Stegostoma tigrinum: one gene and its partners. The protein of the gene in region 3 purifies or fractionates together with the protein of the main gene of each other region. This does not show direct contact. Links are inferred from orthologs where the notes say so. Each region holds a gene or a part of one and is shown on either strand. Other genes may lie near its edges. The genes, in order: otud3, hsp90ab1, ptenb and usp10.

Region 1 (7,610 bases), on a different chromosome or scaffold from region 3:
CAACACCTTCCACCCCAACCTTCAGTTCACCTGGGCCATCTCCAGCACATCCCTCACCTTCCTGGACCTCTCAGTCTCCATCTCAGGCAACCAGCTTGTAACTGATGTCCATTTCAAGCCCACCGACTCCCACAGCTACCTAGAATACACCTCCTCCCACCCACCCTCCTGCAAAAATTCCATCCCCTATTCCCAATTCCTCCGCCTCCGCCCCCACGATAAGACATTCCACTCCCGCACATCCCAGATGTCCAAGTTCTTCAAGGACCGCAACTTTCCCCCCACAGTGATCGAGAACGCCCTTGACCGCGTCTCCCGTATTTCCCGCAACACGTCCCTCACACCCCGCCCCCGCCACAACCGCCCCAAGAGGACCACCCTACCTACCTCCGGACACAACGCATCATCCTCCGACACTTCCGCCACTTACAATCCGACCCCACCACCCAAGACATTTTTCCATCCCCACCCCTGTCTGCTTTCCGGAGAGACCACTCTCTCCGTGACTCCCTTGTTCGCTCCACACTGCCCTCCAACCCCACTACACCCGGCACCTTCCCCTGCAACCGCAGGAAATGCTACACTTGCCCCCACACCTCCTTCCTTACCCCTATCCCAGGCCCCAAGATGACATTCCACATTAAGCAGAGGTTCACCTGCACATCTGCCAATGTGGTATACTGCATCCACTGTACCCGGTGCGGCTTCCTCTACATTGGGAAAACCAAGCGGAGGCTTGGAGACCGCTTTGCAGAACACCTCCGCTCAGTTCACAACAAACAACTGCACATCCCAGTCGCAAACCATTTCCACTCCCCCTCCCATTCTCTAGATGAAATGTCCATCATGGGCCTCCTGCACTGCCACAATGATGCCACCCGAAGGTTGCAGGAACAGCAACTCATATTCCGCCTGGGAACCCTGCAGCCATATGGTATCAATGTGGACTTCACCAGTTTCAAAATCTCCCCTTCCCCTACTGCATCCCTAAACCAGCCCAGTTCATCCCCTCCCCCCACTGCACCACACAACCAGCCCAGCTCTTCCCCCCCCCCCACCCACTGCATCCCAAAACCAGTCCAACCTGTCTCTGCCTCCCTAACCGGTTCTTCCTCTCACCCATCCCTTCCTCCCACCCCAAGCCGCACCCCCATCTACCTACTAACCTCATCCCACCTCCTTGACCTGTCCGTCTTCCCTGGACTGACCTATCCCCTCCCTACCTATCTTCTTTACTCTCCATCTTCGGTCCACCTCCCCCTCTCTCCCTATTTATTCCAGTTCCCTCTCCCCATCCCCCTCTCTGATGAAGGGTCTAGGCCCGAAACGTCAGCTTTTGTGCTCCTGAGATGCTGCTTGGCCTGCTGTGTTCATCCAGCCTCACATTTTATTATCTTGGAATTCTCCAGCATCTGCAGTTCCCATTATCTCTGATGCCATTTTTTTCTAAAACCAGGAATAGAAGTCATGAAACAAAAACAGAAAGTGCTGGAGAAACTCAGCACATCTGGCAAAAAACGTGGAAGAAAGCCAGAGTTAACATTTTGTATCCAGTAATCCTTTATCAGAACGTAAAGACCATAACTTCAGCTTGAGGAAAGATTACAAGGCAGAAAGTATCTGACTGCAGGATTGCTTGGTCTATATTCTACATAAAATTTGTAACAAATGCTTGGGCATACACACCGACTTCAGGTTTGAAGCAAAGAATTTTCAATTCAAGTTGAGTGTGTTGAAAAGTTAGATCTGACTTTTGACCATGATAGATTTTGAAAATGACATCAGTAGCAGCTGGGTTTTTAAACCTCAAAACTGCCAATCCCTCACCGCTGAATAATTATGGTCTCCACACACAGCAAAGCTGGTGACCAATTTAGTCTCAGGCAGTTTTAGCGAAAAAACAGAATTAACAACTCAACATGAGGTATCTGCTGAGCAGAATGCCATATGAAAAACAAAGTTTAACTCCTCCACTCTCTAGGAGCAAATTCAAAGTTAAGTATTACACCAATGACAGAATCAAAACATCGCATAGCATCAATCACCAACAGGTTTTAGCTTACAATATTAAAACTGTCTCATGCTGCAGAATCATGAGGCAATGACTGTGTGATACCGTGTTTCTTACCCATCACCAGGAACTTCCCTGAGTTTGAGTCCCATGGCCAGCAGTTGGTTGGCAAAGCTCAAAAACTCTTCATCCTCTGATCCCTCCTGGGGCCTGTTCTTCCTCTCTTTAGCCAGGGCTCGTCTCACCGCCTTTTCGTCTCTTTTCCGCTCCAAATCCAGTTTCTTGTTAGTCCTGGTTTTGACCGCTTGCTTCTTGGACATGGCTCACAGGCCGGCTAGGACCACATGGAAGCTGCAGAGAGCGAACCAGGATCATCAGATAGGCAATAGGGCAGAGTATCAGCACAGTGACAGGGTCCAACTGCAGAAGAAGATGCAAGGCTTGGGGTGGAGGGCGAGAAACCGGAGCCAAGGACACTCTGGCCTTGCCCTCCAACTGAAGGAGGAAACCCCAAGTTCTGAAGCAGCAAAAGAAGGGAGAAAATGGAAGATATTTATTGAGCGCTGACGGTAAGCTGAACAACTATACTATATGATGTTATAGAGTGAAGTCGGACAAGCTGAGCTCAGTCCTGCTACATTGTGATATCCTTTGACGCAACAAAACGTACCCGCTGCCGGTTTTATTCTTTTCAAGTAGGGCCTAGAGCCAAGTCTGAAGCCTCGGGCTTTGCGTGTCGGCGCCGCCCGCCGGAGGTGACTAGCGCCAGGGCTGGGGAGGCGGGTCCCAGGGGCCTGAAGCTGCCGGCTCCCTCACGCACGGAAGGCGGCTCTCACGGCGTGAACCTCCAAAAAAAAACCCGGCAGCCGCGAAACCGCGGCCTTTGGCTTCCAACCTTCCTAGCGTCCGCAGCGCTGGGACTAACTTCAGCAAACCACTCAACTAGCCATCAATCTGTTCTGGAACCTACTCCAACCAGGACCTTTAATCCTCTTCTCAATCTCAACCTTTGCAGGAGTTAAACTGCCCCCAAACAAAAAAACTTTAACTTGCCTCAATCCTTAATTTAGTCTCCTTCAGCACGAATCCACTATATAATCGCAGACTGTTTCAATCATTATCCATTTCTATCCTAATTCAATCCCAATCTTTTTTATTTCATTCTGTTTTAATTACAATCCAAATCCATCCCAGTCTATTTCTTAATTGGCAGCAGTCTTTTAAACTAATTTGTGATTTCATATTGCCTCGTGGGTAAATCTATTTCTTATTTGATGCTCATCCTTTTCAAAGGGAAGGTTTTGGGTTTCAACCATTTAAATATTTTAACTGTCTCCATGCAGCGACATTTATGCCTACAAAACAAAACAAAATTACAGTAGGTTTCTCTGGCTCTTGGTACAAATAGAAATGATTTCTAGTTAGGTTTGAAATCTTTTTTTCCTTACTTTTACCTCATTGTGGCTATTAAATATGTTAACCAGAGTGGATCTAAAACGTACAGACTCAAAGTGATCTTGCTTTCATCCCAGCATGTGCTGAATTAGACACAGAGGAGGCTGGAAGAACATAGCAAGCCAGGCAGCGTCTGGAGGAAAAGCGAAGTCAACGTTTCGGTTATTATCCTTCTTCAGGACTGGTTGGGCACAGCAGAATTTGTTAAGTATATTTTTGGTGAAGAAAAGGCACTCCACTCAACTGTACTGCCTTAGGGTAGTTAAAAGGGAATAAAAGCCAAAATCTTGATTATTTTGAGTAATCCATGCTGAAAAGAGACAATTGTGAATATTCTGTTATAATAAAATTGAACTTCACTGTCCCCCATATCAGCCAGTAAAATCTGCTGAGGTTTTCTAAGTTAAAGCATGAAGGACATTGTTATTTAGCTAAGGTACTTGAGCATGTGAGGTGTTAGAATTGCACACAGCAAACATCAAACTTACACAAGAAGAAAGGTAAAACTGTGAGTTTTAAAAGAAATATATTTAATATATATCTGTGCCCTTGTTACCTCCAGGCTGACCTTTTGTCTTTCAGCCTTCATAAACTTGAGTTCATCTAAATTCGGCCTTCTGCATCTTCACTTGTGCAAGGTCATATTCATCCTTTGCCTCTGTACTTCAATTTTAAAATTCTCATCCACATTTCCACCTCTGTTTCCTCCTTGAAAATATTTGTTAAATCTACCCCTTTTACTCATTAGTCTTAACATCTCCTTATGGGATTAGGGTCAAATTTTATTTGTTAACAGACTGTAAAGTACATATTTCCATTTTACTACACCAAATATCCTTTCTCAATGCAACGTGTTTCCTTAATTAGCAAAGGCTAATCAGGTTGCGACTCTACTCATTGGAATTCAGAAAAATGAGAGGTGATCTCATTGAAACATATAGGATTCTTAAGGGGCTTGACAGGGTAAATACAAGAGAATGTTTTCCCTCATAGGGAGTCTCAGAGCAGAGGGCACAGTCACAAGATAAAGGGGCAACAATTTAAAGATTGAAATAAGGAGAACTTTCTTCTCTGAGGGTTGAGAGTGTTTAGAACTCCTTGTTACAGAGAACTGTGGGGGCAGAGACATGTTGTATTTTCAAGGCGGAGATGAATTCTTGTTCAGTAAGGGAATCAAGGGATACAGGGCAGCAAGATGGACGTGAAAAATGTCAGAGCAGCCATGATGTTATTAAGTGGTGGAGCAGGCTCCAGGGGCCAAACATCTTATTCCTATTCCTTTTCGTATGGTCTAATGTGGGATTACCTAACCATTTTGGATACAAGGGAACAGTCAACATCAGATATCTACTATAGTGAAAATTATATTTCAAAATGCTAATTAATGTAAAAAGTGAGTCTAATTGTGAATGAGATAAAGTATTGAATGCCACATCAATGAGTTCCATGGACGTTTGCTAGCATTCAGAGCCACTGTTATGTTAAAACAGCATGGATATATGTAGTAATTTCAAAGTTAGGGACAACATGGTGGTTTGTCACCTGTCAGTGATTACATTGCAATCTCTTAGATGGTGTGAAAATCAGTTCCTAATGTAGAAAGCCAGTGAATGTCAATGAAAAACTCTTGCAATATATGTAAGCACATGAAGAGCAACATCTCTGGATTAAATGGCGATTTAATTAAACACAACAATATAGGCAAAGTCACAAGATAAGTATAGATGGTGGAAACAGCAGTATAAAAAAAAGCTCATCCATAGAATAAAACACACATCAGATTGTAATTTATTGCAATGAGAACAAAATACTATGGATGCTGGAAATCTGAAACAAACACAGAGAATGCTGGAGAAACTCAGTGGGAAGGTTTGGCATTTTACAGGAGATTTTATTGCTGCTGTGTCTGCTCGTCTAATTCAGCGCTGATCAGGAATTAAATTTGGAGATGTCTGCACCCTTATCACTTTGTACCTTACCTTTGGGCAGGAATTGGACGGATACAGACTTGTGCTGTACTATTCTATGGTACATGTACGTATGGCAGCATATCTATGCGAAGCCTCTTCCAGGGATGCCTAACCTGAAGAAGTTACCCTCCTCCCTCCGGACCAACCTCAGGGAATCTCTCTCCCATTGCAACTCTCTTGTAATCTCTTCGGCCTTGAAACTGCTAAACCTATCCCCTCCCTACCTCCCCAACTATACTCTCTCCACCTATCTTCTTTTCTCTCCATCTTCGGTCCACCTCCCTCTCTCTCCCTATTTATTCCAGAACCCTCACCCCATCCCCCTCTCTGATGAAGGGTCTAGGCCCGAAACGTCAGCTTTTGTGCTCCTGAGATGCTGCTTGGCCTGCTGTGTTCATCCAGCCTCACATTTTGTTGTCTTGGATTCTCCAGCATCTGCAGTTCCCATTATCTCTGATCTCTATGACTCTTCATACTGGATTCAAAATGTTAGCTCTGTTTCTTTCCGTACAGATGCTGCCAGACCTGCTGAGTTTCTCCAGCATTCTCTTTGTTTGCAATTTTATTGTTTATTGAAGTGTCTAAGTTTCTTCTCATTCTTGATTATTTACCATTGCCATATTTAATAAATAGCCCCTTGTCCTAATATCTATTTGTGTTTCCTGAAGTAAAATTTAATATATTTTCTACTTCTATGAGGTTTCATCATAGTCATTTTTATTGTAAGGTAAAAAGCCCCACTCGCTCCAAACTTTACTGGGAATCAATTCTCTAATGCAAAGGACCAACCTTATTATACTTATTTTCATGGTTTTTAGAAGTTGAATGCTTCCCTTGTGTCCTTACTACCAAAACTGAATCCAATGTCCAATACAATTTTCATATAATATTTTCTGGCTTGTTCTTAGTTTACCTAGCGATGTAATTCAGCATTCTACTTATTTTATTACAGATTGTTTGCATGTTCCTCGTAATAATACCATACATGTATAATGAGCTATAAATACTGTAATTTATTCCATTGCAATCACTGACACATTATTTAGTTTTTCAACATTTAATTTTTTTTTACAATTAACTTTCTATCATTTTGAGAGCTGTGAGTAGAAAGTTAGCAGTAAAAACACACTGTCACACACTAGCTGAACCTGGACAAAGCAGAAGATGGAGCTCTTGTCCTGTGAGTGTCTCGAATGTTCAGTGAAGCCGCGCTGAGAATGAAGTATCATCCTATCGAGCTGATGTTGTCAATATCAGCACATGTTGATATCAGTGCATGTTTTCCATTTGTCAAAAGAAAATTGGACAATTATCTGAAGGGAAAATGTTTGAAAGATAACAGGGAAAAGATAGGGTCCTATGACCAGGTGAATTGATCTTGGGGAAAGCTAGCACAATTACTGTGGGCTGAATGGCTTCCTGCGCTGCAGCCAACATATCATTCCATGTTCAAGCATCTTTGCAATTGTCAAACATGCAACAAAAGCCTGTTTGTCTTATTTCAGTAAGTTGATGACATTTCCTGATAAAATCCTGTACTTGAGAGCAATATTAGGAAGCCATTCACTCCTTAATCTCAGAGATGAGGTTCTGTTTATGCCTCATGCAATCTTTTCCTTTTGCCAAAGTCTAATGACTCCACTGTGTACAGGGTCTTGGGCATTGACAATAGTAGTAACTGATGCATTGGAAGAGACACTATCACTAGTTTGTGAGGGCAAAGACCCATAAACACCAATGTGATAACGGTCAGTTCTTCTGATTTAGTGATATTAAATGAGGGATAAATATTTGCAAGACACCAAGAATTCCCTGTCCTTCAATGATACCATGCCATGGGATATTTCTAACAATCTCAGAGTAAAGACGGGCTCTCAGTATCATGTCATTCAGTAGATTATGATTCCAGCAATGTAGCTCCCTCTCAGCACTGCACTGGAATGTCAGCCTAGATTATGTGCTCAAGTCTCTGGCATAGGATTTGAACCCACAACCTTCTGAACTATTGCTATCAGGTCAGATAATTCTAATAACTCACTATAATGATTGGGAATTCAGATTTGGGACCTCCATGAATGTTATGGTTTAGCATATTGGACTTGGTTAGAAAATGTGAAGATTGCTAAAAGGGACTGAAATAATTCCACAGGGGCCGGTATCTGTCACCAAGTCAC
Region 2 (8,002 bases), on a different chromosome or scaffold from region 3:
CCGTGTTTCTCTCTCTCTCTGACAGGATTTACCGGTGACCGGACACGATACCGGGTGTAATTACCGTGTTTCTCTCTCTCTCTGACAGGATTTACCGGTGACCGGACACGATACCGGGTATAATTACCGTGTTTCTCTCTCTGACAGGATTTACCGGTGACCGGACACGATACCGGGTATAATTACCGTGTTTCTCTCTCTCTCTCTGACAGGATTTACCGGTGACCGGACACGATACCAGGTGTAATTACCGTGTTTCTCTCTCTCTCTCTGACAGGATTTACCGGTGACCGGACACGATACCGGGTATAATTACCGTGTTTCTCTCTCTCTCTGACAGGATTTACCGGTGACCGGACACGATACCGGGTATAATTACCGTGTTTCTCTCTCTCTCTGACAGGATTTACCGGTGACCGGACACGATACCGGGTATAATTACCGTGTTTCTCTCTCTCTGACAGGATTTACCGGTGACCGGACACGATACCGGGTATAATTACCGTGTTTCTCTCTCTCTCTGACAGGATTTACCGGTGACCGGACACGATACCAGGTGTAATTACCGTGTTTCTCTCTCTCTCTGACAGGATTTACCGGTGACCGGACACGATACCGGGTATAATTACCGTGTTTCTCTCTCTCTCTGACAGGATTTACCGGTGACCGGACACGATACCGGGTATAATTACCGTGTTTCTCTCTCTCTCTCTGACAGGATTTACCGGTGACCGGACACGATACCGGGTATAATTACCGTGTTTCTCTCTCTCTCTCTGACAGGATTTACCGGTGACCGGACACGATACCGGGTATAATTACCGTGTTTCTCTCTCTCTCTGACAGGATTTACCGGTGACCGGACACGATACCGGGTATAATTACCGTGTTTCTCTCTCTCTCTCTGACAGGATTTACCGGTGACCGGACACGATACCGGGTATAATTACCGTGTTTCTCTCTCTCTCTCTGACAGGATTTACCGGTGACCGGACACGATACCGGGTATAATTACCGTGTTTCTCTCTCTCTGACAGGATTTACCGGTGACCGGACACGATACCGGGTATAATTACCGTGTTTCTCTCTCTCTCTGACAGGATTTACCGGTGACCGGACACGATACCGGGTATAATTACCGTGTTTCTCTCTCTGACAGGATTTACCGGTGACCGGACACGATACCGGGTATAATTACCGTGTTTCTCTCTCTGACAGGATTTACCGGTGACCGGACACGATACCGGGTATAATTACCGTGTTTCTCTCTCTCTCTGACAGGATTTACCGGTGACCGGACACGATACCGGGTATAATTACCGTGTTTCTCTCTCTCTCTCTGACAGGATTTACCGGTGACCGGACACGATACCGGGTATAATTACCGTGTTTCTCTCTCTCTGACAGGATTTACCGGTGACCGGACACGATACCGGGTATAATTACCGTGTTTCTCTCTCTCTCTCTGACAGGATTTACCGGTGACCGGACACGATACCGGGTATAATTACCGTGTTTCTCTCTCTCTCTCTGACAGGATTTACCGGTGACCGGACACGATACCGGGTATAATTACCGTGTTTCTCTCTCTCTGACAGGATTTACCGGTGACCGGACACGATACCGGGTATAATTACCGTGTTTCTCTCTCTCTCTGACAGGATTTACCGGTGACCGGACACGATACCGGGTATAATTACCGTGTTTCTCTCTCTCTCTGACAGGATTTACCGGTGACCGGACACGATACCGGGTATAATTACCGTGTTTCTCTCTCTCTCTCTGACAGGATTTACCGGTGACCGGACACGATACCGGGTATAATTACCGTGTTTCTCTCTCTCTCTGACAGGATTTACCGGTGACCGGACACGATACCGGGTATAATTACCGTGTTTCTCTCTCTGACAGGATTTACCGGTGACCGGACACGATACCGGGTATAATTACCGTGTTTCTCTCTCTCTCTCTGACAGGATTTACCGGTGACCGGACACGATACCGGGTATAATTACCGTGTTTCTCTCTCTCTGACAGGATTTACCGGTGACCGGACACGATACCGGGTGTAATTACCGTGTTTCTCTCTCTCTCTCTGACAGGATTTACCGGTGACCGGACACGATACCGGGTATAATTACCGTGTTTCTCTCTCTCTCTCTGACAGGATTTACCGGTGACCGGACACGATACCGGGTATAATTACCGTGTTTCTCTCTCTCTCTGACAGGATTTACCGGTGACCGGACACGATACCGGGTATAATTACCGTGTTTCTCTCTCTCTCTGACAGGATTTACCGGTGACCGGACACGATACCGGGTATAATTACCGTGTTTCTCTCTCTCTGACAGGATTTACCGGTGACCGGACACGATACCGGGTATAATTACCGTGTTTCTCTCTCTCTGACAGGATTTACCGGTGACCGGACACGATACCGGGTATAATTACCGTGTTTCTCTCTCTCTCTGACAGGATTTACCGGTGACCGGACACGATACCGGGTATAATTACCGTGTTTCTCTCTCTCTCTGACAGGATTTACCGGTGACCGGACACGATACCGGGTATAATTACCGTGTTTCTCTCTCTCTCTCTGACAGGATTTACCGGTGACCGGACACGATACCGGGTATAATTACCGTGTTTCTCTCTCTCTCTGACAGGATTTACCGGTGACCGGACACGATACCGGGTATAATTACCGTGTTTCTCTCTCTGACAGGATTTACCGGTGACCGGACACGATACCGGGTGTAATTACCGTGTTTCTCTCTCTCTCTCTGACAGGATTTACCGGTGACCGGACACGATACCGGGTATAATTACCGTGTTTCTCTCTCTCTCTCTGACAGGATTTACCGGTGACCGGACACGATACCGGGTATAATTACCGTGTTTCTCTCTCTCTCTGACAGGATTTACCGGTGACCGGACACGATGCCGAAGCTGACGCTAGGCCTGATGGTCCTGACCGGATCACACCCGGACCGCCCACGCGGATGAACAGATCAATCCGCGGTGGAGGGCTATGGCGGTAAGACCTGGACCTCCGGAAGTGGCCCTCCCTATACTGCACAAGCACAACCCGCACAGGGCCCTGTCCCCGACACCAAACCGGGGGGGACACACAAAGCCCCAGAAAGGTGGCTGGAACAGCGGGATATTTACTTAGAGCGGAGGGAGATGCTGCGGGGGCGGGCGGTTACACAGTTTGTTCCAGCACTTTCTATGCGGTGACGTAAGGACGTCGCGGGGAAGGCGGGGCCTTTGTTACCAAGGAGACGGCAGGCAAAAGTGATGGCGGCGGGAAGACGCCCAGAGAGAGAGAGAGACCCTGATCCCCCTCTCCCAGAGAGAGAGAGAGAGAGAGAAACCCTGATCCCCCTCTCCCAGAGAGAGAGAGAAACCCTGATCCCCCTCTCCACGAGAGAGAGAGAAACCCTGATCCCCCTCTCCCAGAGAGAGAGAGAAACCCTGATCCCCCTCTCCCAGAGAGAGAGAGAGAGAGAAACCCTGATCCCCCTCTCCCAGAGAGAGAGAGAGAAAAACCCTGATCCCCCTCTCCCAGAGAGAGAGAGAGAGAAACCCTGATCCCCCTCTCCCAGAGAGAGAGAAACCCTGATCCCCCTCTCCCAGAGAGAGAGAGAGAAACCCTGATCCCCCTCTCCCAGAGAGAGAGATAGAAACCCTGATCCCCCTCTCCCAGAGAGAGAGAGAGAAACCCTGATCCCCCTCTCCCAGAGAGAGAGAGAAAAACCCTGATCCCCCTCTCCCAGAGAGAGAGAAAAACCCTGATCCCCCTCTCCCAGAGAGAGAGAGAGAAAAACCCTGATCCCCCTCTCCTAGAGAGAGAGAGAGAGAAACCCTGATCCCCCTCTCCCAGAGAGAGAGAGAAAAACCCTGATCCCCCTCTCCCAGAGAGAGAGAGAGAAAAACCCTGATCCCCCTCTCCTAGAGAGAGAGAGAGAGAGAAACCCTGATCCCTCTCTCCCAGAGAGAGAGAGAGAGAAACCCTGATCCCCCTCTCCCAGAGACTGATAGAAACCCTGATCCCCCTCTCCACAAGAGAGAGAGAAACCCTGATCCCCCTCTCCCAGAGAGAGAGAGAAAAACCCTGATCCCCCTCTCCACGAGAGAGAGACAAACCCTGTTCCCCCTCCCAGAGAGAGAGATAGAAACCCTGATCCCCCTCTCCCAGAGACTGATAGAAACCCTGATCCCCCTCTCCCAGAGAGAGAGAGAGACCCTGATCCCCCTCTCCCAGAGAGAGAGAGAAAAACCCTGATCACCCTCTCCCAGAGAGAGAGAGAAACCCTGATCCCCCTCTCCCAGAGAGAGAGAGAGACAAACCCTGATCCCCCTCTCCCAGAGAGAGAGAGAGAGAGAGAGAGAAACCCTGATTCCCCTCTCCCAGAGAGTGATAGAAACCTGATCCCCCTCTCCCAGAGAGAGAGAAACCCTGATCCCTCTCTCCCAGAGAGAGAGAGAAAAACCCTGATCCCCCTCTCCCAGAGAGAGAGAGAAAAACCCTGATCCCCCTCTCCCAGAGAGAGAGAAAAACCCTGATCCCCCTCTCCCAGAGAGAGAGAGAGAAAAACCCTGATCCCCCTCTCCTAGAGAGAGAGAGAGAAACCCTGATCCCCCTCTCCCAGAGAGAGAGAGAAAAACCCTGATCCCCCTCTCCCAGAGAGAGAGAGAGAAAAACCCTGATCCCCCTCTCCTAGAGAGAGAGAGAGAGAAACCCTGATCCCTCTCTCCCAGAGAGAGAGAGAGAGAAACCCTGATCCCCCTCTCCCAGAGAGAGAGAAACCCTGATCCCCATTCCCAGAGAGCGAGAGAAACCCTGATCCCCCTCTCCCAGAGAGAGAGAGAGAGAAACCCTGATCCACCTCTCCCCGAGAGAGAGCGACCCTGTTCCCCCACCCAGAGAGTGAGAGAGAGAGAAACCCTGATCCCCCTCCCAGAGAGAGATAGAAACCCTAATTCGCCCCTCCCAGAGGGAGAGAGAAACCCTGCTCCCCCTCTCCCAGAGAGAGAGTGAGAGAGAAACCCTGATCCCCCTCTCCCAGAGAGAGAGTGAGTGAGAAACCCTGATCTCCCTCTCCCAGAGAGAGTGAGAGACCCTGATCACCTTCTCCCAGAGAGAGAGAGAGAAATCCTGATTCCCCTCTCCCAGCCCAGAGAGTGAGAGACCCTGATCCCCTTCTCCCAGAGAGAGAGCGGGAAACCCTGATTCCCCTCTCCCAGAGAGAGGGAGAAACCCTGATCCCCCTCTCTGAGAGACAGAGAATTCCTGATCCCCCTCCCAGAGAGGGAGAGAGAAACCCTGATCCCTCCTTCTCAGAGAGAGACGGAGAGAGAAACCCTGATCCCCCTCTCCCAGAGAGAGAGAGAGAGATGGAGAAATCCTGACCCCCCTCTTCCAGAGAGAGAGAGAAAAAAAAACCTTGACCCCCCTCTCCCAGAGAGAGAGAGAGAGAAACCCTGATTCCCCTCTCCCCGAGTGAGAGAGAGGAAACCCTGATACCCCTCTCCCAGAGAGAGACAGTGAGAAACCCTGATCCCCCTCTCCCAGAGAGAGAGAGAGAGAGATGGAGGAATCCTGATCCCCCTCTTCCAGAGAGAGAGAGAGAAAGAGAGACAGACAGACGACCATGGCTTCTCCTGAGAGAGAGACGGAGAGATCTGATGCCCCACCCGCCCACCTGAGTGAGGGAGATTGATCCTGAGCCCAGTCCTGATGGGGATGGAGAAAGAGAGACCCCGATCCCCTCCCAGAGAGGGAACCCTCGGCCCTTCAGAGAGAGTGAAAGCTGCCTCCAGGCTCAGCCTGCAGCCCTACCCCACAACCCTCCCAACATTGCCAGGGACAGAGCTCCCCCTGCAATCTGTGCCCATGTCCAGTCCCTATCCATTACCAGACCCAGATCTTGCATCTCCTCCAATCCATGTTCAGGTCTTCGATCACCGAAGGCCCAGCAGCTCAGCTTTGAGTTGCACTCCATACCCCATGGCTCCTGCTCACTGACCACACAGTGCCTTCAAGACACAAGCAAGTTGCACAGTTTTCTCAATGTTTTGACCAAAGGGTTCATTCAGCCTAGCTATCTATGGCCCTTGGAATGTGAGCCTGCAAACTCCACTGATGTAAAACAAAGGCAAAACACTGCAGGAGATGCTGGAGAGCTGAGGTACAAACAAAAGTGTAGAATCTCATCACATTTGCCAGCATCTGTACAGAGAGCAAAACAACTTTTCAATTGGAATTGAGCGAACTTTTGTTTTGTCAAACATCCACTGCTTGCTTGTGTCTGTCACCATCTAGATGTCAGCACTGAAAGATTCACAAGGAAATATCAATATGACGGCTAACATCCAAATTTAATTTCAACAGTTGCCTACTTGTTTTTGTTATAATTTAGAATGATTATTATTGATATTTGTGCTAATTCCCCCCCCCCCCCCCCCCCCCAGTTGATGGATATTGTGCATTCTTAATTGCTGAAGTGAGGGGTTAGGATTCCTGCAGCTCACCTCTTCTCTCCCTTTACCACCAATACTCAGTAGCAGCAGTGTGGATCATCTACAAGATGCTGTGCAGGGATTCACCAAGGTTCCTTAGCACCTACCAAACCCGTGACCACTTCTATCTCGAGGGACATGGGTAGCAGGTACAGTTGGGAGAGAACACATCCTCAGTGAGAGACTACCAGATAGACGGTGCGTGTGTATTTCTGGGATATTGGAGCACAATGGGAATTCAGTGCTGGGGTGAGGGGAGGTGCTTTAATTGATTTTTTTTTTGTTGTCTGTGGCTTATAGTTTGTAAGGACTAAATTCTATAGTGATATAGGACCAGGAATAAGAACCCTAGAGTAATTAACATTATTTGATATTAAGCATCTTCCGAAAAGTTCAATTTAACTACTGCCAGGAGAGATCAGAGCTACAGAGTGCCCTTTCTTCTCAATGTGAGAAGTCAGTCAATGGTAGCATTTGTGCGAGAAGTGTCTCTATCTATAGCTCCTGGAAGCCCAGTATTCTTCATTGTGGATAATATGTACAGAGAGGCAGTCACACCATGGACGAAGAGAATGGTCACCATCAGGAAGATCAAAGGGACCAGGCAGGCAGTGCAGGAGTCTCCTGTGACTATACCCTGCAAAGCAGATAAACCTCTTTGGACACTGTTGAGGGGAATGGCAGAAATAGCTAAATTTGGTGCACCATGGTTGACTTTGCTGCATAGTGGAAGAGTAAAAAGTGTGGGAATGTAATCATTATAGGGGATTCAATTGTAAGAGAATTAGTTTGGTGACTGCAATTGAGACTCCAGGATAGAATGTTGCACCCCTGATGTGAGGGTCAATGTTGTCATAGAGCAACTACAAAACATTTTGAGGAGGGGAGGATGAACTGCTAGTGGTTGCATGGTGGTGCAAACTACATAGATTTTTTAAAAAAGACCGAGGTCCTGAAAGCAGATAGTACTAAATTAGAAAGCACGTTTAAAAATGAGGATCTCTAAGGTAGCGATCTGAGGATACCACGTGGTCGTCAGAGCAGAAATAGCAGGATACATTAGATGAATACATGGCTGAAGAGATGATACAAGGGGTCAGGTTTCATATTCCTGGGACATTGGGCCCAGTTCTGGGGGGAGCCAGGTGAAACTGGATGGTTCCATCTGTGCAGGAACGGGACTGATACCCATAGAGGCATGTTATCAAGAATGGTTGGGGAGGTGGGTTTCTTCTACTTTTGTGCATTTGATTATTACAAATGTGTTGTCCACATAATATACCCACAGTTTTGGTTGGGTTATAGGAAGGACTGTTTTTTCTAATCTCTGCATCACTGCTTCTACGATGAGGCCTGAGATGGGTGATCCCATTGATGTGCTGTTGATCTGTTTGTATATCTGTCTGTTGAGTGTGAAGTGGTTAGTAAGCTCCCCCTCTCTCCGTATTTATTCCAGAACCCTGACCCCATCCCC
Region 3 (7,353 bases):
AATATACTGCATGAAACTCAAACAACTTGTAAAGTTCATCACATATAAAGCAGCCATACTGTATTCAAGCAGCACTGAGTGACTAACATCATGCATTTTTAAAATATTCTCCCATCCAGTAGATCTGAGACACATAGGTTTCTTTCAAGCTCTGTCATAATTAACCTAAAGCATTAACAGTCAAGTACTAATGAATATCATTCCTGAACGCTATGTTGCTATTATTTACAAAATAGTATTACCCTAGTGGCTCTGCCTCAAGATATTCAACCAAAGTTATGCAAATATCTAGCATATATATACTGCAAAGCTTTACACCTGAGCAAAGGAAACTGTGAAAATAGGCAAAATTGATTAACCAAAACGTCAACACAAACGTACCAACCAGTGGAAAAAAAATTCAAGTTATATCAACACACAAATTGGATTCTGGATCGTGAATGAATAATTCCTGCCTCATCCAAAGACAGTACAATCCAATTTAGCCTAATGCGCATAATGGGCATTCAAGTCTACTGAGTTGCAAGTCACATTCCTCAAACAGAAGTTTCAGTACTTTTTTCCCTTTAAATATCAAACCATTTCACAAAATACAAAACTGCAGTTTATTCTAATCTAGTGAAAATTTAGACGCTATTTCAAGTCGTAGCAGTGCACAAGATCATTGCGTCTTGTAATTTAAACTGATGCACCATGACATCACCACCATAAACTGCTTGTTACAGTATTCCTATTGCATGTTACTGTATTCCTTCCTTCTATTAAAACTGCTAAACTAGAAGGCCAGCGGTATTATAGCAAGATCAGCAAAATTACGAGACACTAGATCCATTCAAGTCAAGCAAAGACAACTTCAAATGACTCCTAAAATCATTGTCAGTGACGATATATGTATCAAAGGCAAAATGCTACGAGCTCTCAACTGCACCTACAGAGTCTACTGCTCAAGTCAGGGACATCTGCTTCACTGTGCACAAAGTAAAAATTAAACTCCTGAACACTAGTGATTTACAATAGCAGCAACGTGAATTAACGATACTCATCCATGCAAAATGATTATTTTTATTATCGCAAGCTCGTGCAAAACTACTGAACGTAAAACGTACACTTTAAAATTGTTCAACAGATATTAAACATTTTAGCCAAAGACAAAATTAACTTCATCCATTCTAATCTAGGCCAAGACCTAACGCACTCTGTGCAGTACGTATGCCCCCCTGCAGAGGCTACGCATGGCAGCTCTAGATCTGCACAATAGGTATTTCAGTACCACAAAGCAATGTATATAATGACATTACACATTCAACTTATAATGCAAGGCCTGTACACCTAATTACTCATATTTTAAAGAAAAACAAACAAAAAGGAACTCACCCAATATTTTAATACAGTCACTTGCAAGTTACTCAATTTAACTGTACTCCAGCACTGAATAGGACCAATTTGTTAAAATTGTGTAATTTCCCTCAGTTTCTGCAAGAGTGACGGCAGGGTCTCCCCTCCCTTATCTAATACGAAGTAAAGGGAGTGCATCGATTTTTTTTTGCACGTCTCCATTCAAACCTTGATTCAGTAAGGCAAGAATAAAGACGCAATATTTGAAACCACCTTCCTCAACAAACCCCAACCTCCCACCCAAACCCCTCCTTATGAAAAGAAAAATGGATACATGTCAAGTCCAAGTCGAATCCGTCTTCCTGGTATCTTCTCTTGTTCCTGCTGACAAGTTCTTTGATTCTCGAAGCCATGCCTGGTTGAAGGAAGAGGAGGTGGTGGAGGTGGAGGATGTGGAAATGGGTTTGTTGGCACCTTCTGGATTGCTGTCACACAGGGGCCTAACACCCAGCTCCACAACATACACACGCACTCTCTCTCTCTCCCAATCTGCCTCTCGCCTTTCCCCCCCGGCTCCGTTAATATCCTCCGCAGGAGTAAGGGAGGTTGGGGGGTGGTGGATTTGCTCCGGTTTCTTCAGATGACCATCAAAGGAGGAGGAAAACGGGGGGTGGGGGTGGGAGAGAGGGGGTAAAAAGTAAAACCCTTTAGCGGGAAGAGGAATTGGTGGGGCAACGGGGGAAGACGGTGGCCACATTCACCGCCTCTTGCTACGATTTTTCCTCCACGATCGCCTCCACCGCCGCCGCCGCCGTTACCGTCGGTCGGGGGGTGGGGGGAAAGGGGGGGGCTGATAGGCAGGGAAATGGAGGGAGGAAAAAATCTCAATGCCTTCGCTTAAAAGAAAGGGATCTTTTTTTAAAAAATCCAAAGAAGTCGATTCCTTTACCCCTCCGCTGTCAATAAATTACGCGTTTTAAAAAATACATCCGTGGCTGCTCTCCTTGCGCTCCGTCAGAAATAATAATCCACACACTCCGGGATCCTGATCCACTCCGTGTTAAAAAATTATAAGCATTATTTTTCAGAAAAAAAGTCAGCAGGAAGCCGAGCTTCCCCTCCAGCACACGCACACTTGCTCTTCTTTCTTTTTTTCCTCTTTCTTTCCTTCCTTTTTCTTTCTCGGCCGATCGCTCTGGCCCCGGCCCTGGCCACGGCTCCAGCTCCCGTCCCGGCCACAGCACCGACTCCAGCTTCTTCCCCCCCCCTCCCCCACCAAGGCTGCTGCTGGGGCCACCGCCGGACTCTCAAACTTCCATGATGGCTTCCCAGGGAAAAAAAGCGCAATGGCCCCGAGTGGGAATGAGAGAGAGAGAGAGAGACCGAGAGAGAGAGAGAGAGAAGGGGGAGGGGGGAGAGGAGGAGGAGAGAGAGCGTGTAACACTCCGCCCTTTGGATATAGTCCCCGCTTTCACTCTTCTCCCCGCTCACCAATTAAATCTCCTCAGTCGCCCTTCCAAGCACTGCCCTGGGATTGACTTGTACCCTTTTCCAGGCCAGCCGTTGGATTTCGGGACCGGCTGTTGTGTCAGGGTTGAGAGTATGTAGTGGCATGTTGGGGGAGGGGGGTGTAGGTTCGAATACGAAGTGAATTAAATCAGTATTACAACATTGGTGCTGGCGATCTCGCAGCGGCGTGAGAAGGACGTGCTGGCACTATTTGCGCAGTCACGTGTCCGCTGCGATGATTTTTTTTTCTCTCTCCTGTCGCTCCTGAACAGTGGTGGAGGAGGGCGGGGGGTGGTACGGCTCCCAGGGGAAGGGGGCGTGGCCAGTAGAGCGCGAGTTGCGGCCGTTGAACGGCCGAGTCTCCAGGTTACTTACCCCGAAGGCGAACAGCGGAAGCGCCCCCTTCTCTACCCTCACTCCCATTGACCGAGTACAGCCTCACGGGTCCCCGCTACCAAAAATGCCCGGGCTATCCGGGGAGAAAAGAACCAGATCGTGCAGAACGTACGGGGAGGATTTGGCTGGAACCCGACGCTCATTGATCTGTTTATTCATGGAATGATGAACCAAGTGACTTGGAGGGTTTTTTCCGGGCTGTGTGGAGGGGGAAAGTCTCTCTCTCTTTCGCTCTCTGTCTTTCGCCATCTTGGTAAAGGAGCAACCTGCTTGCGCATGTGTTACAAACTCTCGCTCTCCGCCTTTCGGGCCGGTTTTATCCATTGGATTTTGATCAACTGATATCGTTGCGTGGAATCCATTACTGAGGAATACGGTCGTTTCCCCCACCCCGTGCTGCCCATACTTTGGGAATCGCTGTCTCTCTGGGATTTCCGGTGACAGTGCACCCTGATGTTGAGCCTTAGAGCACTTTGGGACTGTCTTGGACTGAGCTTGGAAGTAAAACCACAGTTTCTGAACGAGATGGCAACTGTGCGGGAATAGTCTTTTCCATACCGCTGCCTTGGCAATTACAGGTGGTGTCTCAGACACTTCTGAAATCCTCACTGTTTATTCCAATTATTTTATGGATCTTATTCGTAGATTTGTGTATGCATGTATGTTGGTTATCGATAGAATATTGTAATTTGGGAGCTCGTGGGACATCGGGCTGTTTCCCCGCCGCAGATATGTGGAGTCAAGACATTAAGGGGAAATACCTATATCTTTCATCACATGAAGGTTGGAGATAGTGTTCTATTATGACTGACAAAGTACTTTTGAAATATTAGACAATGTAGTCTACCATTAAGTATTTTAATAAATATTAATTGAAGACTAAGATGTATAAGCCAAATTTGATATTTGACAATAAACTAGAAATAGCTTGTACAACGGTATGGATGATTTTAATTAATGTCTACTGTCTTTGTGGACAAATTATTTTAGTTCAGATCAGCTTTGTTAAGTTGCAATTGTATAGTTTTATTTAAATTTTATGTAATAGTCGTTGTGGTTGAAAAGAAGGGAGCAGACAATATATAATCAATGGCTTTGTTTTTGTAACGTGCACGTTCATTGGAGTGTAAATCTGAGCAGAAGTATCCTTCACAATCTAGCGAGTGTCAATCATTGATAATGGGAACTGCAGATGCTGGAGAATTCCAAGATAATAAAATGTGAGGCTGGATGAACACAGCAGGCCAAGCAGCATCTCAGGAGCACAATCATTGATGTTGGATATTCTAATTCTTCACAAACCAATGGAATATCTTTCTATAGCTAGGGATGTGATACCAGTTTTTCTTTTGCCAAATGCAGCAGACATCTTTCTTGAGGAGGAAGAGAGACATTCATTTTAAATGAATTAATGATTTTATAAACATTCTGAACAATTGATTGGAGTGTGGTCTGACCTAGGATTTATGATTTATGCAAATTAATATTGTCTATATTAGTGTTTGGATTTTGGACTAGTTGTGCGCAGATCTTGGTCTGTTATAAGGGGTTTAATAATTATCTTGTCAGTTTTCTGAAGTCATTTTCTCTTCACATGGAGTCTTCAGTGTATTTACCATGTTTTCCTAGCTTCTATCAGTTTCGAAGAAGGTCTGCGGACTCAAAATGTTAATTTCGCTGTCTGTCTACAGATAATACCAGACAAGCTGTGTTTCTCCAGAAATTTCTGTTTGTTTCAGATTTCCAGCAACTGCAGTTCTGTTTTACTTCTGGAGCCATGATTTTTTTTCGACCAGTTATGACAGAGAGCAGCCTCTTGGAGTGCTAATGAGCATTTGTTTCTATTGTGAGAATTTTAGGATTGGACACAGTAAACGTTGAAAGGCTTTGGCTTTGACTCAGAAGAATCAAGATTCTTTTTTCCCCCTAGCTTGGAGAAAATCTATGAATTGTAAACCTTTTGGTTTTAGTTGACAGAAGTCCTAGTTGAAGTTAGATGTGTGAACAGTCTTTCCTGGAGTAAGGAGATAATTCAGAAGAGTTAGGAAGTAGATTATCTCAGTGTCAGGGTTTTAGTTTGAAATTCCATATTTAAAATATTTAATTAGAAGCATGAAGGGTTTATTTGAAGCTGAAAACTAGGCTCAGATGTGTTATTAATCAAGGGAGAGGTAATACAATTCACAAAACCAGGAATTGGGGGGAAAAAAACAGTTAATTTAAACCTTTAGATGTGAGAGAGAGAGAAAGAAACCTTAGGTGTCTGGATAAATGGGCTTGTATTTTTACTGTTTCAATCTTTTAAAATTGTGTTATGTGTAAATAGCTTAGAATCATACAGTACAGAGCTTAGTTTTTTTCTATTTTATTTTAGCTTCATTTCTGTTGCATAATGAACTTCTGTTTTATTGTTAAAATAAATTCTGCAGTGTTTCCTGCTTGTGTTTCAATGAAAGGTGACCATGTTAATTTAAAGAAAAATGTATGATCTTTCAAATCAGGTTTCAACCTGGGATCTGATTTATCCAGTAGCAATATTAACTGGTATAATGGCAATGCATTGAGAAACTGTTTAAGCAAGATGATAAACTTTTCCACACCTGTAGTTGCAAGTTAAGTTAATTTAAATTCTGGTGCCATTTTACCGAATGCTTTAACTATGAAATGATGGAAACTTCACTGTGGAGTGAAAATCAGTCAAGTTTTGGTTCAATGACTTTTGTGTTCTGATGCTCAGATAAAGTTAACCTAAGCAAATTCCTTTTTTTAATTTGTCATGTTGTAATAAGATCTCTCCCTGGTTAAATCTGAATACAGCTGTCTTGTATGGCTCCCATTTCTTTCAACCATGACACTGCTTTTGATCCTCACTGAAAACTGTCCAGCTGCAAACACACACAAAAGCCACAGTTTCTTTGGACTTCTGACCACACTCGTCCGTTCACTAAGTCTCAACCTTAACCATTCAGTATCATCTCTTCGTCCATGCACGTCACACTCAACAACCCCTTGCCATCAATTTGGCGAATACCAAAGCTTTACGTCCTCTGCTGTAGTACTTTTTTGAAAACTCACCTTCCAAAACGCTACAAAAATCCAGGACCTATTTGTTATCCCACATCTGGCTTCCTAAATTTAATACTACCTGCAAACTGTGCTCAGTACTTTTCCACGCATGGGGCGCTAGTGGACCCCAAATGTCCTTCCGTACTGTGCATTTTACAGTGATCCAAGTCCATTTTATTTCTCATGTCCCTTTGCTCCCAAAGCCCATCTATTATACTTCCACATTGTAAACCTTAGATGACCCACAAGTACATTATTCTCCATTGCCACTTGCAAGAAACAAACCCACAATCTCCTTCCGTTGTCTTTTTTAATGTTCACTTGTGGGATGTGGAAGTCACTCGTTGGGCCAGCGTTTCTTGCCTAGCACTAGTTGCCCTTAAGAAGGTAGGGGTGAGCTGCTTTCCTGAACCACTCTACTCCTTGAAGTTTAGGTACCCCTGCAGTGACATTAGGAAAGGGATTTCAAAGATTTGGAACCAGTAACTGTGAAGCAATGGCAAAATATTTCTGAGTCCAAATGATATGCTTGGAGGTGAACTTGCAGGTGGTGATGTTTCCATGCATCTGCTGCCCTTGTCCTTCTGGATAATAGTGGTGTGAATTTGGAAGGTGTTGTCAGGGAATCATTGGTAAGTTGCCACAAATTCTCTTGTAGATCTTATGCACTGCTGCTATTGTGTTAGTGGCAAAGGAAGCGAATATTGAAAATAGTGGTTAGGATGCCAATCAAGCTGACTGTTTTGTCCTGCTGATGTCAGCTTCTTAAGTTTTGATGGCACTGCACTTGTTCAGGTAAATGAAGCTATTTCCACTCTACTCCTGACTTGTGCTTCATAGATGACAGATAAGCATTGAGTTGACAGGAAGTGAGTTAACCTTGTAGAATTCCGAGTCTTTGACCTGCAGCTGTCACCAGAGTACTTATATGGCTGGCCCAGTTCAGATTCTGGTTAATGGTAACCTCAAGATGTTAATAATGAGGAGGAATTCGGTGACCAGAATGTCATTGAATGTAGTGAGGTAATGGTTCAATTCTGTTGTTGG
Region 4 (7,837 bases), on a different chromosome or scaffold from region 3:
GTTATGTGAGTAGCTCCAAGAAAGTGAAAGCCAGCCATAAATAGAGGGTATCCTGGCTCAAACCACAAATGAGAGTTGTGAACCCTGCAGTCTTTCTTTCCAGGTTACTAGCAGCAATATTTGAGAGATTAACCTTGGTGCATTCATGACCTATCTTTGGGAAAGCATCTAGGACCAGAGGACATAATGTCAGAGTAAGGAGTTCCCCAGTTAGGAAACAAAGACAGAACTTCTATCGATGGGTAGTGGATGTCTAGAATTCTTTTTCGCAGAGGGCAATTGAGGCTAAGTATATTCAATGCTGTCATTGTGGATACAAAATCCTACTTTCACTTTGAGAATAACTACCATTGTGTTGTGTGGCACTATCACTGTGCTAAATGGGACAGATTTTGCACAGATGTAGAGCAACTCAAGACTGGGCATCCATGAGGCACTGTGGGCCATCAACAGCGGCAGAACTGTACCGCATCAAAATTTGTAACCTCATGGCATGGCATATGTCCCATTCAACCATTACCATCAAGCCAGGGGATCAACCCTGAGTCAACAGAGAGTCAAGGACGGTATACCAGGAGCAGAACCAGGCGTACCTAAAGATGAAATGTAAACCTGGGGAAGCCAACAGACAGGACTACTTGCATGCCAAACAGCATAAGCATCAAATGATAGACAGCGCTAAGTGATTCCACAGCTAATGGATTATATCTAAGCTCTGTAATCCTACAACTGTGAATAGCGGTAGAGAATTAAATAACTCACTAGAGGAGTTGACTCCACAAGTATCCCCATCCTCATTGGTGGAAGAGCACAGCACATCAGTGCAAAACATAAGGCTGAAGCTTTCACAGCAATCTTAAGCCAGAAGTGCCGAGTGGATGATCTCTGTCAGCCTCCTCCAGTGGTCCCCAGCATTTCAGACGTCAGGCTTTAGCCAATTCGATTGACTCCACCTGATAGTCAAGAAATGGTTGGAGACACTGGATACTGTAAAGGTTTACAAGCCCTGAAAACATTCCAGCAATAGTACTGAAGACTTGTGCTCTAGAGCTTGCCGCTCCCCTAGCCAAGTTGTTGCAATACAGTTACAACACAGGTATCTACCCGACAATGTGGAAAATTGCCCAAGTGCATCCTGTGCATAAAAAGCAGGACAAATCCAACCCTACCAGTTACTGCGCCATCAGTCTCCTCTCAATCATCAGTAAAGTGATGGATGGTGTCATCAACAGTGCTAGCAAGTAGCACCTGCTCAGCTATAATCTTTCCAGTTTGGGTTTGGCCAGGGCCACTCAGCTCCTGACCTTGTTACAGCTTTGGTTCAAACATGGAAAGAAGCACTGAATTCCAGAGATGAGGAGAGTTTTAAAGCCCTTGACATCAAGGTTGTATTTGATCAAGTGTGGCATCAAGGACCCCTAGCAAAACTGGAATCACTGGGAATTTAGGCCAAACTCTCCACTTGTTAGAGTTATACCTGACACATAGTAAGATAGTCATGGTCGTTGAGGTCAGTCATCTCAGTACCAGGACATCTCTGCAAGAGTTCCTCAGGGTAGTGTCCTAGGCCCAACCATCTTCAGCTGCTTCATCAATGACCTTGTCTCTATCATAATGTCAGAAGTGGGGATTTTTGCTGATGATTGCACAGTTCAGCACCATTTCAGACTCCTCAGATACTGAAGCAGTCCATGTTCACATGCAACAAGATCTTGACAATATCCAGGTTTGAGCTGACAAGTGGCAAGTAACATTCGTGCCACAAAAATGCCAGTCTATGGGCTTCACCAATAAGAGACAATCTGTTCACCTCCTTTGACATTCAGTGTGTTACCGTTACTGAATTCCCCATGTCACATCCTGGGGGTTATCATTGACCAGAAACTCAACTGGACTCACCATGTGAATACAGTGGCTACAAGAACAGGTCAGAGGCTTGGAATACTGTGACAATGTACACACCTCCTCATTCCCCCAAACCCTGTCACTATCTAAAGGCACAAGTCAGGAGTATGATGGTAAATGCCCCACTTGCCTGGATGATTGCAGCCCCAACAATACACAAGGAGCTTGACATCATCCAGGACAAGGCAGCCTGCTTAATTAGCACTATATCCGCAAGCTTACAGTTCCTCTACCATTGACACTCAATAGCAGAAGTGTGTACTATTTACAGAAACTCACCACATAGCGTCAGGTACACACGTTCTAAACCCATGACCATTTCCATCTAGAAGGACAAGAGCAGCAGATATATCAGAACCACCACCTTTAATTTCCTCACTAAACCACTCACCACTCTGACCTGGAAATATATCGCTGTTCCTTAACTTTTGATGGAATTCCCTCCCTAATGACATTATGTCAACCCACAGTGGTTGGATGGCAGCTCACCACCACCTTTTTAAGAGCAACTATCTCTGTAGTAGTTGATAGGTTATTTTAGGTTGGGGAAAGATTTGTAGAAAAAGGTCTCCTGCGTCAGGGTCGGGATCCATGCTGAAATAAATTATTGATCTAGACCCCACTGTGCAGAGGTAGATAGATTTTGCAGAGCACAATTCCAAAACAAATTACACAAAACTTGGAAATATTGTAAACTATGAAGAAGATGGAGTAGAACTTCAAAAGGAAATAAATAGTGGATTGGGCAGACAGGTGGCACATGAAGCTCAATGAAAAGAAGCACAAAGTGTCTCAGTTTGACAGGAAAAAAATGGAGATGATATGATATAAAAAGGTACCATCCTAAAAGGGTGCATGTGTAGTTGATATGATTGAAGGTGGCAGGATAGTACTAAAGAATGATTAATATATCTATGAAGTATCATAGACTTTATTAGCATGGTCATAGAGTGTGAGAGCAAGGAGTACATTCAATTATTTGAACAAGCCATAGGCCCCTCAAGCATGCTTTGCCATTTAATACCTGATTTGATATTAATTTTTATACACAAATGTAAAGCACTGATTTGGCCTTAACTGTCCAGTTCTGGATTCTACACGTCGGCCAAAAACAAAGGCATTTGAGATTGTGCAGAAAAATAATTCATAAGGTTGGTTTCAGCAACTTTAAGTTCCGAAGCAGATTGGAGATGCCCCGTCAGTTTTTCTTGGAGAAAGGAAGCCTAAGAGTAGTTTTTTTTTTGGATTAATTTGTGGGACGTGGGCATCACTGTCTGGCCAGCATTTATTGCCTGCTCTTCTGATGCTGCTTGGCCTGCTGTGTTCATCTAGCTCTACACCTTGTTTTCTCTATCAATTACTACTCTTGGTTTCGTGTCAGTCAGCCAATTTTGTACCTGTGTTTTAGTATCCATTTATTCAATGGGCTATGACCTTGTCCACAAGTCTATTGTGCAGCATTTTATCAAAGACTTTTAGCATGTCACTCATTAACTCTGTCTGTCATCTCTTCAAAGAATACAGCAAATTTATTGAACACATTCAGTGAACAATTCTGTCCGAGATTCCTTCATTACTCACATTTGTCCAAATTATTGGTTATTTTGATAGCATGACAGATTCGTGCTATCAAGTGGTAATGTTGTGGAGGTGCAGTTTTTCTGAAAAGACATCAAATTAAGGCTCTCAGATAACATGGTGTAGAGCTGGATGAACACAGCAGGCCAAACAGCATCAGCGGAGCAGGAAGGCTGATGTTTCAGGCCTTGACTGTTCTTCAGAAAACGTCTGCTTGCATGGTTGTATGTAAAGGTCCCGGAAGCAGTATTTCAAACTGAAGTATCTTAGAATAAAAGATTCTGAAGAAGAGTCAGTTCAGATTTGAAGCAGTAACCCTGTCTCTACAGACGCCGTCAGACCTGCTGTTTCTTGCACGTTTCAGTGGCGATATATATTCTAATGACCCAGTTCAGGGATGTTATTACACACATGTGGTGCAGGAGGATTTGAACTCAGGGCTACTGGACCAGAGGTATGATATGAAGGTGCTAGTGTTGGACTGGGGTGGACAAGGCCAGAAGTCACATGACACCAGGTTACAGTCCAAGTTTATTTGAAATCACTAACTTTCAGAGCAAAACCCCTCAGGTGAACTAAAGACTTCTGATTTGGACCACAGGTACGAATGCTACTACTGTGTCCCAACAGCCCTTCTTATGTTTCAGCATAAATATTCATTCCTGAAACAACATCACAAAATATATATTCGCGAGTTATTATCTCGCTGTTAGTTTTGAGGTTGATGAGCACAAATTGGTTTGTCACTTTCACTAAATTGGAACCCTGGCCGACACCTGAAAACTCATGAGTTTCAAAATGACCTGAAAACAATCCGTCCTGAACTAAAATCGAATTATTGCACACCTCAACGAAGATCAGAAGCAAAATCCAAAATAAAACTAGACACCACTTGAAAATTGAATTGCTCTTTTAAACAGAAAACTATTAGGCGGCATTTCCTCCACCCTTGTTGCAAGCTGACCAATAGGCACGGAGAAAAGATCAAGTGGGGTTGGTTATAGCCAATCGTTGAGCAAGGGGTTCGCCGGCCGCGCGCGATTTGTCCAATCAGGAGGCCACTATTCGCCTGACTGGTAAGCCATTGGCTGGACGGCGGCATCCGCGAGCGGACCAACAGGACGGCGAATACGAAGCTAGTAGACCAATAGGAGAGCGTGAAGGTGGCAGACCAATGGAAGAATATCGTTGCTGCCGACGGACCAATGGAGAAGGAGACGCGGGTCATAGGGACGAATGGGGGAAAGCTGAACAGTCAGACCAATAGGAGAGCGCAGAGGTGTTGGACCAATGGGAGGGCAACGGTTGGGGGCGGGTGTCTCGGGGAGGTGCCAGGGACACGGGCGCGCAGGCGCACGGCCTCTGGCGGAGCAGACAACATGGCGGCAAACGGGGAAGCATGAGTTATCTCATTCAAAAGCAGCAAAATGGCTAGCAACAATATAAAGGTGAGGAAAGTCGGGGATGGCAGGGCAGCGGCGGACGAGCATCGGGGACTGGGCGGAGAATGAAGCGACCTTGCGGTTGAGGGGGATTTAAGATGAGAGATTTCGTTCCCTGTCGAGGATGAGGCGGTGGTAGCGCGGGGGGAGGGTGGGGGGAGGCGGAGAAGGCAAGAGAATCCATGAGGTTTAGGCCCCAGGGTATTTTCCTCAGCCTGACTACTTGCGGTCGCAGAGTTTTAGCCCAGGGCCCCACACGATGCTATCAGGTTGTCGACTACCCGAAGGATATATCTCGTTAATGAGACACGCCCGCCCTGGTGCCTCACGTTTCGCTTTGCCTGGATCTGAAATGCGCCGCGGCCCTGTTACAGGCCATCTTCCATAGTTCGGCTGCATTCCAAATTGTTCGGTTCAGCAAGAAAACATTAAAAGAGATGAGCGGTGGGGGAGGGGCGCATGATGATTCATTCCACCTTGGACTCTGTGTCCCCTGCAGTTAACCTGGAAGGGATTCTCTTGGACGGCAGGGTATATCCTTGAGTTTTATCACAGCAAATTGGGTGGAAAAATGCTTCAAGATCCACTTGTGAACATGTACTTTTATCAGTCGGGAATGGTGGAAGTGGATTCTGACCATTTTATTTTGGGGGTGGGGGTGCCCCTGTTTTGCACGTGTTCTGAACGAAATCCCTTGGTTTCTGCCTATGCTACAGTATACACATCACACCTTAGATTTTAGTCTCACTAATTATATAGTTCAACCTGTATGCCTGATCAAACTTGTGGCACACTTTAACATCTAGAAAGTTTTGTAACGGCGTTGAGTGGGATTTGAACAGTTCATCTTGGTTTATTCAAATAAATCACACGTGTGGATAAGCTGCCAATTATGTTGTAATGTTTAACATAAAATCTGACGAGCATTTTCTTTCTTTGTATGTCATTATTAGAACAATGAGTCTACAAATTTAACTTAAATTTTAAAAAGCCCTTAAATTCAGAATTGTCAGCTGAATTACCAAAATCATGAGTGCAGAAACAATTTACTGAACATATTAAATGTTGCAAACATAGATTTTGGTGTTTTGCTTTCAACTGTACTTTTAAAAGTTGCTTGCTTTATGAAGCTTTTTGGTATTTGAACTTTTTAGCTGCTTGCACTTTGGACTGCTTTCTGGCTGTTAAATTTTAAGTTTTAGTTATTCGTACAGAACATTTCAAAAAAATTTAGTCGGGTGAGCTGGGTAGTTGTCGGGAGCTGATACATATTGGATCAAATAACCTCCCTCTGTACAATAAATTTCTGTAATTCTAAAAAAGTCATGCTGAATTTTTGGAGAAAATTTAGAACTGAAATTCATCAGTGCGAATATGCATACTGTTTGATCTTTTGCTGTGCCATTTGGTCATTCCAATTCTCTGTATACACCAAGATTTTGCTCTGGGCTAATATCTTTGTGCGTTCGGCCACATGGTGTAAAGGGGTGACCAAAAGCCAATGAGACCAACACACAGGAGGGGTGGGGGGATAAAAAGCCACAATCTGACACAGCTGACTTCACCCATCTGTAGGTGAAGAAAGGAGGGTGCTGGTAAACCCAAACATGAGAATGGGGTGTTGTCGAGCCTATGGCTTCACAAGAGCGTGCCCAAGTCAAGGAAGAATATCTGCAGGCAAAGACATTATTGCATCAAACAGTATGGACCACCACCTTAAATAGCTGCCATGGATAGTTCGATCAGTATGACAGCTCATTCTGCCAGGAACTGCACGGTTTTGAATTGGTCTTGATAGATTAATTTATAATGTCTGCTTTATGAACAAATCCATTGGTTGAAAAGGACTCTATTTTGGCTCTTGTTTGAATTTAAAGCACTTACAAATAGTTCAACACAAATAAATAAATTCTAACCAGTCTGGATTTTTAGCTGTAAGGGGACGGGCTGAAATGAGAGAGCTGATAATTATTAGCCTGAAGATCTCACTAATCATTCCCACTACTTATTAATTTCAGTTGTTAGTTATGATTGAACTTACGCATGCAAAATTAATAGTTGAAGATTGGACGTGTCTGTTTGGAGTTTCATCTCTAATATGGTATCAATGATTTTTTGCAATTTTAAAAATACTTTTTTCCAAATATTATTTATTAAAAGTTATTTTCAATTTTAAATGAATTTACTTCATCCAGTTTTGTTTTCATGCAGAAACTGCAGTGCCCAATGAAAATTGACAATCCATAGAAGGGGGACTTTCAAAATCACCTGTACAACACCTAAATATTGCATTTATGCAGCACCTAAAGTGCCATGAGAAATTTCTGCTTACGTTTGTCTTACATAGATTTGTCTTAGATCATTATTGAAAATTATTGCTGTTGCAGCAAACAGTTGTACTTGCAGGCTACATTGTTCAAAACTGAAATTAATTGTAAGGTCTAATTTTGAATATGTATGGCTTTTTTAACGAAAAACTATTTTTATGACACATGCTTTCTAGATTGTTGCCACTGTTTTTGGTTTCTTACTATTTTAACAATCAGCAGATAAATTGACATTACAGATCTACCCTAGATTATAGTATTTGGTACAGATGAAATGACAGTCCCTCCAATTTAAAACTTCTGGCGCAAATGTATATAGGAAGCATATGTATAAACGTGAAGCTGACGACAATTCTGGTATCCAAATGCACAGTTAGTGTGATTATCCAGCAGTTTTTGTCACTGATTCCCTGCTCTTCTATTCTGGCAGATTGCAATTTTTAGAAGCCAGTTGAACAGATATAAAGTTTCTTTTCTGTGCAGTAATATTGTTATTTTTAAAAATCATTCAGTGAAATATGCTTGAGTTTTTAACAGATGACCAAGTCATCATTACTTCTGGATACCTCCTTTCATCCTTGAAAA

The links.
Region 1: the proteins of ptenb (region 3) and otud3 purify together in Homo sapiens (affinity purification with western blotting; 3 studies listed by BioGRID and IntAct, with this or other methods). This does not show direct contact. The link is inferred for Stegostoma tigrinum from reciprocal best matches to the Homo sapiens genes PTEN and OTUD3.
Region 2: the proteins of ptenb (region 3) and hsp90ab1 purify together in Homo sapiens (affinity purification with mass spectrometry; 3 studies listed by BioGRID and IntAct, with this or other methods). This does not show direct contact. The link is inferred for Stegostoma tigrinum from reciprocal best matches to the Homo sapiens genes PTEN and HSP90AB1.
Region 4: the proteins of ptenb (region 3) and usp10 purify together in Homo sapiens (affinity purification with western blotting; 4 studies listed by BioGRID, with this or other methods). This does not show direct contact. The link is inferred for Stegostoma tigrinum from reciprocal best matches to the Homo sapiens genes PTEN and USP10.

Annotation. Positions count from the first base shown.
Region 1 is NC_081381.1:30,523,723-30,531,332, reverse strand, and holds the start of otud3 (OTU domain-containing protein 3), read right to left. Parts: upstream 3,013-7,610; 5' UTR 2,682-3,012; intron 2,529-2,681; 5' UTR 2,332-2,528; coding exon 2,129-2,331; intron 1-2,128.
Region 2 is NC_081357.1:1,517,249-1,525,250, reverse strand, and holds the start of hsp90ab1 (heat shock protein HSP 90-beta), read right to left. Parts: upstream 3,005-8,002; 5' UTR 2,946-3,004; intron 237-2,945; 5' UTR 187-236; intron 1-186. UniProt on the Homo sapiens protein: Molecular chaperone that promotes the maturation, structural maintenance and proper regulation of specific target proteins involved for instance in cell cycle control and signal transduction. Undergoes a functional cycle linked to its ATPase activity.
Region 3 is NC_081373.1:46,077,214-46,084,566, forward strand, and holds the start of ptenb (phosphatidylinositol 3,4,5-trisphosphate 3-phosphatase and dual-specificity protein phosphatase PTEN), read right to left. Parts: upstream 3,001-7,353; 5' UTR 1,749-3,000; coding exon 1,670-1,748; intron 1-1,669. Other genes in the region: atad1b (outer mitochondrial transmembrane helix translocase), read left to right, coding at 3,894-4,023. UniProt on the Homo sapiens protein: Dual-specificity protein phosphatase, dephosphorylating tyrosine-, serine- and threonine-phosphorylated proteins.
Region 4 is NC_081369.1:49,064,677-49,072,513, forward strand, and holds the start of usp10 (ubiquitin carboxyl-terminal hydrolase 10), read left to right. Parts: upstream 1-4,819; 5' UTR 4,820-4,910; coding exon 4,911-4,931; intron 4,932-7,837. UniProt on the Homo sapiens protein: Hydrolase that can remove conjugated ubiquitin from target proteins such as p53/TP53, RPS2/us5, RPS3/us3, RPS10/eS10, BECN1, SNX3 and CFTR.